Linked DNA regions of Lepisosteus oculatus. The protein of the gene in region 2 purifies or fractionates together with the protein of the main gene of each other region. This does not show direct contact. Links are inferred from orthologs where the notes say so. Each region holds a gene or a part of one and is shown on either strand. Other genes may lie near its edges.

Evidence for each region.
Region 1: the proteins of anapc2 (region 2) and nek2 purify together in Homo sapiens (affinity purification with mass spectrometry; 4 studies listed by BioGRID and IntAct, with this or other methods). This does not show direct contact. The link is inferred for Lepisosteus oculatus from reciprocal best matches to the Homo sapiens genes ANAPC2 and NEK2.

Annotation. Positions count from the first base shown.
Region 1 is NC_090697.1:46,237,166-46,244,435, reverse strand, and holds the start of nek2 (serine/threonine-protein kinase Nek2), read right to left. Parts: upstream 3,007-7,270; 5' UTR 2,759-3,006; coding exon 2,663-2,758; intron 2,652-2,662; exon of another isoform or gene 2,384-2,651; coding exon 2,166-2,383; intron 438-2,165; coding exon 197-437; intron 1-196. UniProt on the Homo sapiens protein: Protein kinase which is involved in the control of centrosome separation and bipolar spindle formation in mitotic cells and chromatin condensation in meiotic cells.
Region 2 is NC_090719.1:331,793-338,980, forward strand, and holds the start of anapc2 (anaphase-promoting complex subunit 2), read left to right. Parts: upstream 1-4,174; 5' UTR 4,175-4,189; coding exon 4,190-4,501; exon of another isoform or gene 4,502-4,978; intron 4,979-5,634; coding exon 5,635-5,706; intron 5,707-5,863; coding exon 5,864-6,447; intron 6,448-6,524; coding exon 6,525-6,657; intron 6,658-6,963; coding exon 6,964-7,120; intron 7,121-7,188. UniProt on the Homo sapiens protein: Together with the RING-H2 protein ANAPC11, constitutes the catalytic component of the anaphase promoting complex/cyclosome (APC/C), a cell cycle-regulated E3 ubiquitin ligase that controls progression through mitosis and the G1 phase of the cell cycle.

The sequences.
Region 1 (7,270 bases), on a different chromosome or scaffold from region 2:
ACGATCTTAGTTTTAAGAAAAATATGCTGTATTCTGATATTTCTTTTTAGCCATGAACATCACCAGGAAAAGCTGACAAACCCATACACCGATTTAAAAAAAAAAAATTATTTCAGAGTGGATCCATCTAATATTTAATTCTTACATCCCTGATAATTAACCAGCGGGCCGATTAGAAGAGAAGATTTTAACTTACTGGAGACATGTAATAGGGAGTTCCCACGAAGGTTTTGGCAAAGCTGGTATCATGATTTAATATTCTGGCCAAACCAAAATCTCCCAGCTTGACATTCTGCTTAGCATCAAGGAAGATGTTGGCTGGCTTGAGGTCCCGGTGTAGCACCGTGTGGCCCCCATCACTTCTTCTGTGGCACTCTTTCAGCGCCAGAGCCAGCTGGGTGAGCACCCGCAAGATGAACTCCTCATCCAGGTATCGCCTGCGAGGGAAGGAACATGGAGCACTCAGTTTTATTCGATGGAAAACCCTCTCATGCAATGCTGGTCTTCAAAGTATAAGGGCTACCTATAGCTGGCTAAGAGTGGAAAAGATCTAGCCAGCAGCCATATACACCACAGCTTTTATGAAAACAGATCCATTATTACACCCATGTCCAGCAATAGAAGAAAAGCATCATAAAGGACATTTAGGTCGGGTCTTCAAACAGCTTTCAGAGCCAGCACCACCAGCTTCAAAGTGATGGCAAATCTGTTTTACCTACTTAATAATGATTAGAAAACGGTTACATCCAAAATGCTTTATTAATGAATTGTGTAGAATATTTTATAGAGTACTAATAAACTCATGCACAACGGTAATACTCAGGATTCAAATTAGATAGCTCAAAGAACAGAACAAGAGCAGTCTGAATTACAGCCACACATCTATTCAAAACCAGAACAAAAGCCAGGAAAGCATGAACAGACTGGGAAAAACACCTGGCAGATTCAAGGCACATGGCAAAGCGGCTCCTGAACCAGTCCAGAGAAGAGCAATTTGATGCAGTCCCGGTTTAAGGTTATATCCTTCATTGACAGGCTAAACGAGGTGAACCTTTTCTGGTCTTGAACAAAGATGACTAATCAGGGGGGTCAAGAATTCAAAATCCTCAAAGGCACTGAGAAAATCAACACAGCAGAGTCCTTCAGAAACACAAACCAGAGGACAAGTGGAAACTTGTTGTTGAAACTATTTAAAGCCAAGAACAAAAGGGTGTGGGAGTGTGCAACAAGCTCCACAGCCACATTTTTGAAGTCGATTCCCTGGTTTCTTTCAAGAAGCGGCCGGATCAATTACCGACCAGCTCCTAAACGGGCTAAGTGGTCAAAAAGACAAAAGTAAGATAGGGGGTCAAGTGAACAAGAGATCACAACTGGAAACGTCCTGCATTTCATTCCAAGAACAAAAGCTACTCTACATAGAAGGCTGTGGGAGTATGGAACAGGCTATCCCACCAAGTTGTTAAAATACACTCTAGCTTCAGTCATGAAATAACTGGATGAGATCCTCAGAGCAATCAATAACTAGCTACCAAGTGGGCTTGATGGGCCAAATGGCCTACTCCATCTTAGGAACAAATGGCATTAAAGGTGTCGAGAAATCAAATGCTTGTTTATCTACACTACCATGCCATGAATATAAAAGCAAACTAACCTGAAAGAAAATAAGTGAGATGTTTAGAGGCTAGTTTGGCAAAGTCTCAGGCATATGTTTTATTCAGTAATGGTGTAGCTCCAGAGACCTCTTAGTTGTTTAAGCCTGGACCAATTAAAGGGGCCGTACAGTAATTATGCAGTTCCCTACCCCAAGGAAATAATGGGAAGGCTATGTATGATGTATGACCAGGGCATTAGACCCGTTTGGCATTGTTAGCGTTTGCTTTTTGTTTGCATGACTTATTTCTCCCTTGCATTGTGATCCAGCCATGAGTGAATATAACCGTCACTGACGTTTGCCTTCTTCCTAGCATTGCTGGACTCTGCAAAAAAAAAATCTTAATATCTTAACTTGTGGCTAAAGAGACGGACTGCTTTTAATTTCATTTACTTCCGAATACTCCCCAGTAATTCGAGTCTAGAAGTCGGAGTATTACTTAAACACCGGTAACTGGCAGGCACCCAAGAAAAGAGAATCAAGGGAGGTACACTCATACAGTGTACGTACGCACCTTTCTTTAATACACCTGGTGATGAGACTGGACAGATCCCCCCCCTCACAGTACTCCATGACGATATACAGCGTGGTGTTGCTCCTGTCGATGATGCGGTCGTAGTACCGAACGATATTGGGGTGCTTGAGCTCACGGAGGAGATTCACTTCGGACACCAGCATCTGCTTTTCGGCTTCAGTCATGGTGCCATAGTCCAGCTCCTTCCACACAAGTACCTGGGAGCGCAGCAGATAAAAGTACTACAAATACTGACGATACATGTTTTAACTGCACGGTAACGTCATCTTAAAATGAAAGCGCTTCTCTATGCACAATGATTGCATCACACACAACATCATAAAAGCGTGACGAGGAACAAAAATGCATATTGTTAATGTATTTTAAAAAGACGTTCCAAGATAGCGTTCGTATTTTGCATTATCCTTCATTTCAAAAGAACGAGTATGAAGTCGGTCATGTAATGCAACCAAACAACACAGTGAAGTAATGTATACCTTTCCATCTGTCTTTCGTCTTATTTTCTGACATTTTCCATAAGATCCAGATCCAATTGTGTATAAAACTTCATAATCTTCTACGCGAGACGGCATCTTTAAACGAACTTAAAACAGAAAGTAAATGTTAAATCCAGATTTTTGCAAGGACAATCTCTTCAAACAGCGGAAATCCCCCTTTCAAAGAAATACTGATAGGTGACTGCCAAATATTTGTTTTAGCAGCCTTCTTTGACAACTTTCTTTAAAAAAAAAAGAACATTCACATTTATCCTTTCGTTATTGACAAACAAAATAACGCGATCACCTAGGAGAGTAGGAAGTTCAAGCTTTAAAATTGGCGTGGTTTCGTTTCTCAGATGTGATTGGCTTTCCGCACGGAGGAGCGAAAATCTTATTGGTCAGAAAATCAATACAAACCCACACTGCACCAGGCGTTGCTATGCAACAGAAGCCCGCGAGAGAACAGCGGGTATTTAAAGGGATCTTTAAAGTAAAAGATTTTAGTTTATGCCGAACATAATACAGTACTTCAACATTTCTGGTCTTTGTATTAACTATTGTTTATGTTACGCTTCTCTGCCTTTTGGCTAAAATTAAGTGTAGCGTTTCTTTATTCTGGAAAAGGTCAATGAAAAGATAAGCTACGATTAATCGGTTCACAAATTTAAAAGAACTTCAGGAGACTATTGTCCTAGTTGTAGTTTGAGCTGCTCATTATGCAACTATCTTGAAATAATACTGAGTATATTAGCATTACGTCTGTGATTGAAATATTTTAGAATCCTGAAATTATTTATAGTCATTTTAAATTAATGGTTTGTATTTTGGTACGTGAAGTTATATGATTTGTTATTTGTTTATGCAGCGCTAGTAAACTGAATTATTATTCATTATAATATTACACATGTTGCGAGTGAAAAGCATTAGTGCAATCATGCTTATATGGGAGTGTGCAAACAAAGTTAATCAAAAATTTAAAAGGCTTCAACTATCTGGGTGGAAGCCTGTTCCAGACACTCGCAACTCTTTGTGTAAATGTGCTTTACTGTCTATCCGAAGTTCACTTTTACTTTCCAAATTGCAAACTTGTGTATTTGTGTCATTGATGAGTGAGAAATAGTTCCCCAGGCTGCCTCTTTTTAACAAAAAATAATAAATATAAAAAAACAGTTTTATTCCATGCTGAAAATCTATTTATACTACTTGAGGATTTAAAATACTCTTCTAAAATCTTCTTTTAATCCCTTTTATTCTATAGCGATGAGAACATTTGTTCTGTAGCTTTTTTGTGATCTCCTTCAACCTGTCTGTATACGACAGACATTTCAGGCCAAGAATCAATCTTATTGTCGTGATGTCCTTATTGTGATATGGTTGCCAAAACTGGAAACAATGTTCTAAACAAGATCTTACTAGTGTGCTGTAAAATCTGAAGCACGACTTTCCATGATTTAAACGTGCCATATTCCTAAGCATTCTGTTTCCTTTTTTATTGCTTCCCCACATTGTCAAGATGAAGACATGAAGGATATTAAACCCAGACATCTTTCTTGCATAGGTGCCTGTAGCTTAGAATCACCCATGTGATATATACCGTAGAATATGTTCCTTACTTCCTGTATAGATCACTTTACAAATATCAACATTAATCAAATGGTTGTGTGCAAGTTTCTTTTTAATTCCCTTGGTTCTGTTTCTGTGTCTGCTATTCCCCACTATTTTGTATAATTTTAAAATTTCACTTAGAAATGATTTAGGTGATGACATCACAATGTCAATCATTGATACAGTTCTGGCTAAGCAGTCTAGCACAGCAGGCCACAGCTTTCAGAAGTTATGTTCTTTGCAATGATGTCCTCTTTCCTGTTTGTTAACCCATTCTCAATCTGAGTATACAATACCTTTAATCCCTACAGCATCTTCATTTGTGAATTAACCTTTTAAAGCTGTTTTGAATACAAATATTTATGAATGTTATTTAAATATGTGGGTGTCTATGAACAGATTAGTAAATGTTTTATTTTTTTAAATTGTGAAGTATATTAATGGCAATATTCATCAATTTCCAACATCACCTTTTCACTGGCATGTTAGTACAGGTATTTGCACATAACCCCTCACCATAAATCTTTTTTTCATGATGGAAATAGATGTTTTATTGTAATACTGTATTTGTATTAATAGAATAATTTCCTCAACAATTATTTTGACACCTACTGTAACAAAGTCATATTGCATTCCCTAGCTGTGGTGGATAATTATAATCTAGTGTATTAATAGACTCATATTAGAGATTGTTTTGCATAATCTGTTTGGGAGTAATTTGCATGAACAATGGACTGGAATTCTAAGATAGTTCTGAACTGAAAAAGAAATAATTTCCCTCTCTTAATTTTATCTCAAGAATGCACATCATCATTGTTTACTCTGAAGTAAGAATCTTAGATATACTAAGAAGAAAATAAAGAACATACTTACCAAACACACTACATAGAGGCTAGATGAGCCAAACCAAACCTTTTATGTTCTAAAATGGAGACACTTTTGTATTATCAACATTTCAGCAAAAAATGTGTTTTCATTTTTAATTTCAAGTAAATAAAAAAATGTTTTTTTTTGCTTTCTTTGCTTTGCTGTGATTTTCTTGCATATCATTCCTTATAAATTAATGACCAAGGCTTCATCAAAATTGGTCCAATGAAAATACATTGCTGTTGTTAACTGTAGCCACTTTTAATCAGTTTCAGGAAACAAATGGTAAAAATCACTGTTAATGCAAGACAGCTAGGAGGGGCGTCTTATACACCAAACAGGCTGATTGGTTCATCCTTCAGAGGTGAGTCCTCTTATTCACATACAGTAGTTATAGGTGTGTCTAACAACACTCAAAATGAATGTGATGGTGCCTCATTTTCCCTTCTAGGCATAGGCTACATGTCTGCAGATCTGCACATGAAAGCCCTGAATACCCATATGAATGAAAGAAACCCCCCAAACAAGAGGCTGCCTTCATACCTGTGTTAAAAAAGATGTGTGTAGTGCAGCACAATCTCAAATATCTTTGCAGACTGTAGATAAAAGTTTTCTTTTTTTATATGCCACACCTCTGCCTCTCCCAATCTTTGAAAACTCAGTTTTGATTGTAAAACCAGGAAAACGCATTGCTAACATTGTTATCACAACTTTAGCTGGGGCATTAACAGTAATAGTAAATAACATAAAGGATCAACTGGGAATTGTGAATGTGAATTGTGTAGGATTGACAATTACAGTAAGGGAGTTCATTTTGAAGCCCAGACTCCTTTTTACTTTTTTTTTAACATGGGGTGTAAGGTGCACTAAAACGGGACAGACTTAACCTTGCAGTCTCCCAGCTCAGTCAGATCTTTTCGAGTTAAACACCTTTTCTTTGCAAATAATCAAAGCAACTGTGGGTGACGTGAAGAAGGCTCCAGAGCAAAAATGTTGTGTTTCTTTTCTTCTCTTTTCAGCCTGGAATAAACCTTTACTTGTTCCTTTGCAGCCTACGCATGCTGATGCAGCTATCTACTTGAACTATGGTTTTTGCCCATGGCTGCTTAAACAGGAATTCAAAAAGTGGAAAGTGAGTGAGATGATCTCAGAGTTCCACTGTAAATGTATATATCCATCCACTCACAATGAGCTCTTCATCGAATACAGAAGTCATTCCCAAACCTGAGCCTTGAGAAAGTGCTGTTTGTTATTCTAGCAGAGTTCTTAATTACAAGCTGATGGTTTTCAGCTGGATTTTCGGGCAGTATTTTTAAAACTTCTCTCAGATCCTTAAAAGGTGATTGGGACTTTTAATTATCACCCTTATACCAGTTTCTGTGATTCAGGGGTTTTTGGAACTTAAAGAAGCAAGCAGATCAATTAATGTTGTCAGTTAGTACTGGCAATTTAAGAGGTTGCCTCGACTAAAGTCAGCAAAGGTAATGGTCCCACATGGCCACCGCAAAACAGAGCTGTGTGGATCTCGAGCCAAACCCAGCAGCACAAGGCATAAAACACCACAGGCCACAGATAGTCTATGGCATGACGCACAGACTGGTCAGTCTAGACATGCCAATTAACCTTGACAGGTTGATGTCTAGGTTAATTCTTTGGATAGTGAGAGAAAATAAGAGCCTTTGGTCAAAAAATAAATGTAGTCAGGAATAAACCATACAAACACTACACAGAAGCCACCCAGGCCAGACTCAAACCTGAGATCCAACCATGTCTATATAGTACTGCTATAGCACCATGCTGCTAAAAAATGATTTGTACTGTTTAGTGGGTATTAAATCTCATTATACGTTCATTGGTGTAAGTTGTTTCTAAAACATATGCTTGAAAAAAAAACTTTCTGTCTTCATTGTTTAGTAATTCACTCACATGCTTCAAGACACGAAATCTGTGTTGTACTTGGACACCTCTGAAGCAGAAGTTCCAATTTTTTATGAAACCAAGAAATACCAAAAAATAATGACAAAAGGCCACACAGTTGTTTATTTGCTGTCACACAATACAATATTATGTCAACTTGACCCTTTTATTTGACTTCATTTTCATGATTTTTCTTTCTTTCTGTAACCACAAGGT
Region 2 (7,188 bases):
TCTGGGCTTCGGCTGCTCTGTAACCTATCAATAATGATGATGACTGCATGCCTGGCATCTCTTGTAAAGGATATAGAAGAGCACAATACGTTCTCAATTTCAGCAACAAGATCAGACCTTTCCACGGGAGGGCAGTGTTTCCTCATTTCCTGTTATGATCATCATCATTAATGGTTCTCTCAGGGGTGGGTACCTCCAGTCCTGGGCATCTGCATTTGTTTCTGCTTTTCATTCCATTTTCCATTCCATCGACTTTAATGACTAAACTGAACTAATTAAGTGGCTATGAAGTCAAATGCAAAGACGTTTTGCAGGTCTAACCAGGTGCTAATTGAGAGGTAACTCTAAAAAGGGCCAGAGCCTGGCGCTGCAGGACAGGAGCTGCCCGCCCCTGCCCGTTCACCGCCTGCTCAGTGTCGTCTGCATGCCTTCTGTTCTCACGGTGGAATTCCTCCAGTTACTTGATGTTAAAGGAGCAAGAGGGAACGGATAAGAATTTTTTTTATTTTTTCATTTGCACTGTCATTGCTTTGTTTGCACTTATTGTGGGAGGAGATGCATCCAGCTGGCTGGGGGGTGGAGAGCTGCAGCCTCTGAGCCCCCAGACCACGGCAGTGGGCTTGCAGACAGGGAGGGACTGGGGCTTTTAGAAGAGGCTGGTGAGTATTATTGTCAATGCAGGTTTTTAACTCCAGGATACTACGATTCATAGAGTTTTTAAGTTCTTTCAAATTAAAAAAAATTCTCACTTTCCTGCTCCATTCCCAATTTCCTCTAGTTACTGTTCACAGGTCCTGATTAAGCACATTAGTCTCAAGCACTCCTGCTACACGAGCTGCTGTAGCAAACCCAGCACAGTAGGTGTTCTGTAAACTCATGCTCATGTCGGATTAAGAGCAAGCCCCTGTGTTTAATGAGCAATAAGCAGTGGCTGCCTTTATCAACTAGAAACTCTTAGAGGTGTCCTCCCAAGTGAGCAGTGGAGAGTGACGGAAATCACAGGACACAGCCATGCGCCCTGCAGCCCCTGGAGACCAGGGACTGACCTGCTGCAGAGAGGCTCACTGAGGGCCAGAGCTCTAGCCCACTGTCCACTCTTGCGCCAGAGAAACTTACCTGTATGTTAAAATAGAAACTGTCACGTCTTATTTCTTTGTATTCTTTTGATCTATGGCATTGGAAAAAAATTAATTGTATCATTTCTACCCAAACAACTTAAAAAATGTTCGTCAGACAACACAAATGCAAATAAAAACTAGATTAAACAAATTGTTTTTCTGGAGTCTCTTGATTGCAGTGGGTTTCTGTCTCCTAAGATGGCAGTATAAAAAACTGTCCCTTAGCTACACCCTGCATGCTTTTCAAAAGTGTCTGTTTACCACGCTGTACGTGTATGATGGTGCAGTTAAATTATACATTTCAACTTGGTGTATTTTTTAGTTTGTTTGTCCTGGGAAAACTGGCCCTGGTGTGATTTGACATATTTGTGGGTGTGGGAGCCCTGCGATGGACTGGTGGTCGCATCCAGGGTGTACCCTACCTTGTGCTGGATAGTGTCCAGCTCCCCTGAGACACTGAAGTGGATGATCGGCATATTTTTAAAAAACAAAGGCTGCTGCAGCTTCTGTAGAAGTATTTATTAAAATCTATATATTTTATTTTAGAAAAGAAATACAAAAGATTGGTGCATGAAACTCAGAACAGTTTGATTGCAACTACAGATGATCTACAGTCTCTCTGTCAGCACGGAGGCCACAGCAGGGGCATTTCCAGACTCGCGGGAGCCCAGTACGGGCTCTGGTGCTGCAGGGCTCGACTCTCTCCTCTGGGGGGCTGGGTGGTGGCATCAGTGGTCCTTGTGTGCCTTCCGTGGGTCAGCAGCTTTGCCCAGGTTCCCTGCCTCCCTCTTCAGCACACTCAGAAGAGTCTGGGAGCTCTCCAGGATCTGGCCATTGCAGAGAGAAGGGGTAAGGAGGAGAGAGAGGAGTTCTGTTAGCCAAGACAGTTTTCATGAAATCTTCTTTGTTTCAACTCTTCTTTACGTGGAGAGTTGGGAGAACTTTGAGCCTGCCTACTCATCCCTGATATGGGAGTTGATCCCACAGGACCCTTCGGGGAAACAGTTTGATGAGACTCTGTGATTAACTAAGTGAGTCAACTGGAATCTTCTGAACTGGCTCCTCTCTTTAAAAATCTTTCAGATGTTCTCCTAAGATTAAACATGCTGAACCAGCACATACTGAAAAGAGAGTTTTCTTTTTCCTCAAAAATAAAGCTGGGAAAAAAGCTGGACACAGTGGAGCAATTAAGGAGTAGATGGGGGCTGTCATGCTGAAGAGCTCGGAGCCAGGGTACTCCAGGGAGTACAGGCACAGCGGCTCATTAGTGTTATTTTTTCATTAGAGAGATTGGGGGGTGTTAGTCTTTACACATTCCAGAGGGAGCTGGAGTACATGTCCAGGAGAACACTACCCCCCATGCAAAAACAGCAGTTATGCAAGGACATGCTGGATGCCTTTAATGCAGGGTTTACTTAAGTAGTACTGGGACTTCACAAGCACCATGCAACCACAGTGTAGAGACGCATACTGAGACTTTGCCTGATGTCTAGGATGAAGTTTGTAGGGAACAGTATCATTCTTTTATTTGATATGCTGTAGGTGTTAGAGTGTGCAGTGTATGCAGTTGAGATAGTGCGGGATGCAATGTGTGTAGATGTGTAGATGTAGTACTTAGACGTAATGGGATCCAGCACCAGTATGGCCAGCAGAGAAGTTCTCACCTTCATGTACGCGGCCTCAGTCTCAGCGATGGTGCGGTCAAAGTCATTGCGTGAGGCCAGCTTGCGCGCCAGGCTCTCATTGACACGGCTCAACTTCTCGGTCAGGATGCGGATGTCATTCTGGAGCCGAACCTTCTCCTCCTCTTCCTGCTCGATCTGTCTGTTCAGTTCATCCCTCTTCGCACACAGCTCCTCGATACCTGCGCAGCACAGTAACACAGCTCCTCAAGCACCATTCCAACGAGAACCTACAATGGGTTCAGTCAGTGTTTTAACAGGAGCAATTTCAAGTTAAGAAAACACTGAAAAAAAGGAAAAAGCCTTCTTCGTTTGCAGCTTGCACACTGATGCAGCTATATAGTACTAGTGTATTGTCGTGTCAATACATCCACTGCTGACACTGTCCCTCAGCGTGCCAGCCCAGGCCTGATGACTGCTGCTGTATTTGTGCAGTTCTACCCACCCAAAGCTCTGGGGGCCGGGGAGGTGTCATGGAGGAAGAATCACCATCTCTGCTGGAGGAGTGGACAGTCTCTGAGGTCACAAAACTGGAGGAGGAAGGGATTCTCACCCCAGCTGATCATCAGTCATTTTAATTAGAGTTAACTAAATCAGCGGAGCTGGGCACTCGAGGCATACCGTGGAATACAATGACATCACTTGTGTAATCCCACCTGGGATGTGACTTCAGGGCAGAATTCTGATTTATTGTTTGCCACTGAATGCACAGAAAACAAATTTAATAGGATTTTTGTTCTCCTGCTTGTTTGTAGTGCCTCCCAGCTACACACCCTATGTAAACACACAGCCCCCTTTCAAATCTCTGCCCACACCAGTACCAATTCCGCTCACATACAGTTCAATGACAAAGACCTACTTTGAAGCCAGATACAGTAATGAGTCCAGACATCCCTTACAGCCCACAGACACTTCACAACAGGATCGGTCCAGAGAGTCGAGCTGAGCCCGGGAGACCACAGGACTCGAACTACCCCAGCAAAAGACCCTCTCTAATCGGATTCCCACTAACCTCCTGGAAGGCTGTCTTCACTGTGCCTAATCCCGACACTCACTGCTCACTGTGAGCGCGGCCCTATGCACATCGACGGTACAGCAGTTTCAACAGTAGCTTGGAAACGCTCGATGAAAAACAGAAACAATTGCATTCAACTCAAAAATGCTAAAATCTTCAGCTATAACAAGAAGCAATCTCCCACACATTCACGCCTCTGCATCCTCCGCTGATTTCGCATTGTGTTCAGAAAACACACAAGCCGTGCCGTTATTTGACACAGGACAGCCTCCAGCTGCGGAGGCGATAGCAAAAGTATTTTATTTCTCGATTTTAAGCAGCACGAATTGCCTGCTATGCTGGACATCAGGCTATCACACCGTATTTGTTTCGCTATGGGTCTCAGTCTGACGGCTCGAGAGGATCTCTCCCGCCTCGGGTCACTCACACTTGACCAGCTCGTTGTTGTAGGTCTGCAGCGCCGCTCCCTGCTGGCTCATCCTGCCGGCTCGGCGGGACTCCTGCACGCACTGCCCGGGATGGGCCTCGGCTCCACCCGCCTCTTCGAGACGAATCTCCTTTGCTGGCACGCAGATGAGGCTCGGTCGCAGTGCCCACTTGTCAGTTCAGCTACCCTCTCCCCTGCGTTCCCGTTTCCCCTCTGTCTTCCCTGCGGAGCTGTTGTGCGGCGCTGCCCTCCTCTTCCGGTCAGTTTCCAGGGCAACTGCCTAGCGCAGCTAAACGGCCGCTCTGCTTCCGCCACACTCTACAACGCTCTCTTATTTAATGCTTCTTCTTCGCCTTGCTTTTATCGTGCAGTGTCGGTGATGAGCCGTTTCATATCCACACGGAAGGTTTACGATCTCGTTATTAGACTTAGACGTCTGTTATTAGGGGCATAGCTAACAAAATGGTGGTGACGTCATTACAGTGCGCCGCAGCCGAGCGGGAGAATGCGGTTGGGTAAAAAAATTGTACCCTGGTTTTATAGTTAGAAATATAACGTCTTTGTCTGCATGGGGTGTACATATTCAAGACAGTAATTTGAGGCTGTAGCTCCTTTCTGAGTGGGCAGTTCCAGGAGCTGACCAGGAAAGAGCGGCACCGGAACCACTCGAAGGGCTCAGAACAAGAAACCTGTTACTGATTCGGCTCCAAAAATTATAACAATCGGCGCTTTTCAGGTAAGTCGGCGACGAAACAATTTTGGGCAAAGTTCAGAGTCCAAAGAAGCTTTTGCAGGAAAGACCAGGGTGCGCGGCTGTTGAAGGAGTGTCGGGCAGTGTCTTGAGCAGATTCCCTTACCTACAGTACGACACTGCAGTGTCAGATTCGTTCGGATACTTTAACACAGAAACAAACAATACATAATAATATGTCAGTAGCTGTGGCTTATCAAAATAGGTCCCTCAATGACGTGTATCTTGGATAATGTATCAGGTTGATTTCCGGAGGAAAGGCTGATGTACTATAGGAGCGTAATTGAGAATTCATTATCATGGAATCCCCATGTTCCAGTTAAGCCGTGACAGACCTGTCACAATCCCGAGATAAGGCGTGACAGTAAGCTCTCTGGAGGCCGTGAGCACAGGACCCTGAGGGTCCTGGGGTGTTGTGCGCACTGTGACAGCTGGGCTTCCTCATGCCGGGGTGTGTTATAACATGGGGGGCTTCAAAGTCTCAGGCTTCAGGGGAAGGTTTGCGCCTCATTATCTGAAAGCCCCCTGAAAAGAAGCCCCTTCTTTACCGGGTGGGAGGGACCAGAACTAAAGTAGCTTTCCTGCTCGTGTGAGCAGGTACTGAGCCAGCAAACTGTAGCAGCTGCTCCTCTCTCTGACAGCCCGTCCCGCCTGGGGGAGCTATGGACGTGGCCCCGCTGGCCGCCGCCTGGGACAGCGTGACCTCCGTGCTGGTGAGTGGAGTCGCCCGAGGAGGGGGCAGGGCCAGGGGGTGGCACCCTTTATCCTGCTTTTCTGCTGTTCCTAACTGAGCCAGGAAGGGCATTTTCCTGCTCGAATTTTAACAAGTCTCCCTCTTCCTTCCGCCTCCCCACCCCCTTCCTCCCCCAGGTGTCCCCGGGGCCAGAACCCCCCCCTGAAGAGCCTGTGTCCCAGGCCCTGGCGGTGCTGTGCTCCTGGGGGCTCGGCGGCAGCCTGGAGGCCTGGCTCCTGGAGGCCCTGCAGACGCGGCTGCAGGCGGCCGTGGCCCCCGAGTTCTGGGCTGGGCTGGACCAGCCGGAGAACGGGCTGAGTGAGAGGGAGCGGGCCGCGCTGCTTCTGGGTGCCTTCCGGACTCTGCTGAGCCGCCTGGAGCCCTTCCTGAGGGGGCTGGGGTTGCTGGGGGCCTGGCAGGACGAGGGCCGGGGGGGCCTGAGCGGCCCCGGGGCGCAGGGCCTGAGGGACCGGGCCTTCGCGCTGATCCGGGCCATCCTGCTCTTCTCCCCCGGCGGGGTGCTGCAGGAGCGCGTGCTGGAGTTCTACAGCCGCACCTTCGCCGCTCACATGAGCCGCGAGGAAGGGCAGGACGGGGAGCCAGAGGAGGCCGAGGGCCCCCTGGGGGACGAGGGGGGGCGGTGTCCCGGCTGCAGTATCCCCCCGGAGGAGTGCTGGTGCGAGGAGGCCCTGGAGCAGCTGAGCGAGCTGAGCCACATCCTGTGAGTGAGGGGCCGCGGCGGCGGGGGGGGGGGTGTGCGGAGATGCGCGGCCATGCTGACTCTCTGGCCCCTCGCAGCTCCAGGCTGCAGCTCCAGGAGAGAGTCAGCGCCGAGTCGGTGACGTCCATCCTGCACCAGCTGATTGAGCAGCGCATGGAGCGCCGCTGCCGGGGCGAGTACGAGAGCTCCTTCATCAGCGACTTCCAGCAGGTACTGCCCCCCTCCCTCTGGCCCTCCCGCTGTGTTGCTCCTGGGGAGTTGATCATCTGCCTTGCTCACACTGAATCCCACACACGACAGGCTCAGCAGTCCTGTCTCTGTCTCTGTCACATAGTGAATACAAACAAAAACATGACCACGGCTCTTTATTTTCATTCAGTCTCTCCACTGTCACTACCAGTGTGGTGGGAGATGAGGCCAGGTTGTTGCTTAAGGATTAGAAGAATCTGGGCAACACAGATCACAGAGCGCGAGGTGTGCTGGTTCGGCCGGTCAGCCCTGTCTCCTCTCCCCCAGTGGCTGGAGCGGGTGCTGGGCTGGCTGGGCCGGGTGTTTGCCAGCGCCGGGGGGCCGGGCAGTGCCGCCTTGCAGCGATGGCGCTGCCACATGCACCAGTTCTTCTGCCGGCTGTACGTCAGCATGAGGATCGAGGAGCTGTTCAGCATCATCCGAGGTGAGACGGGAGGCCCAGGGTGGGAGGAGTGTGAGAGAGCTGAGATAGACTCGTGGAGATGGGGGGCT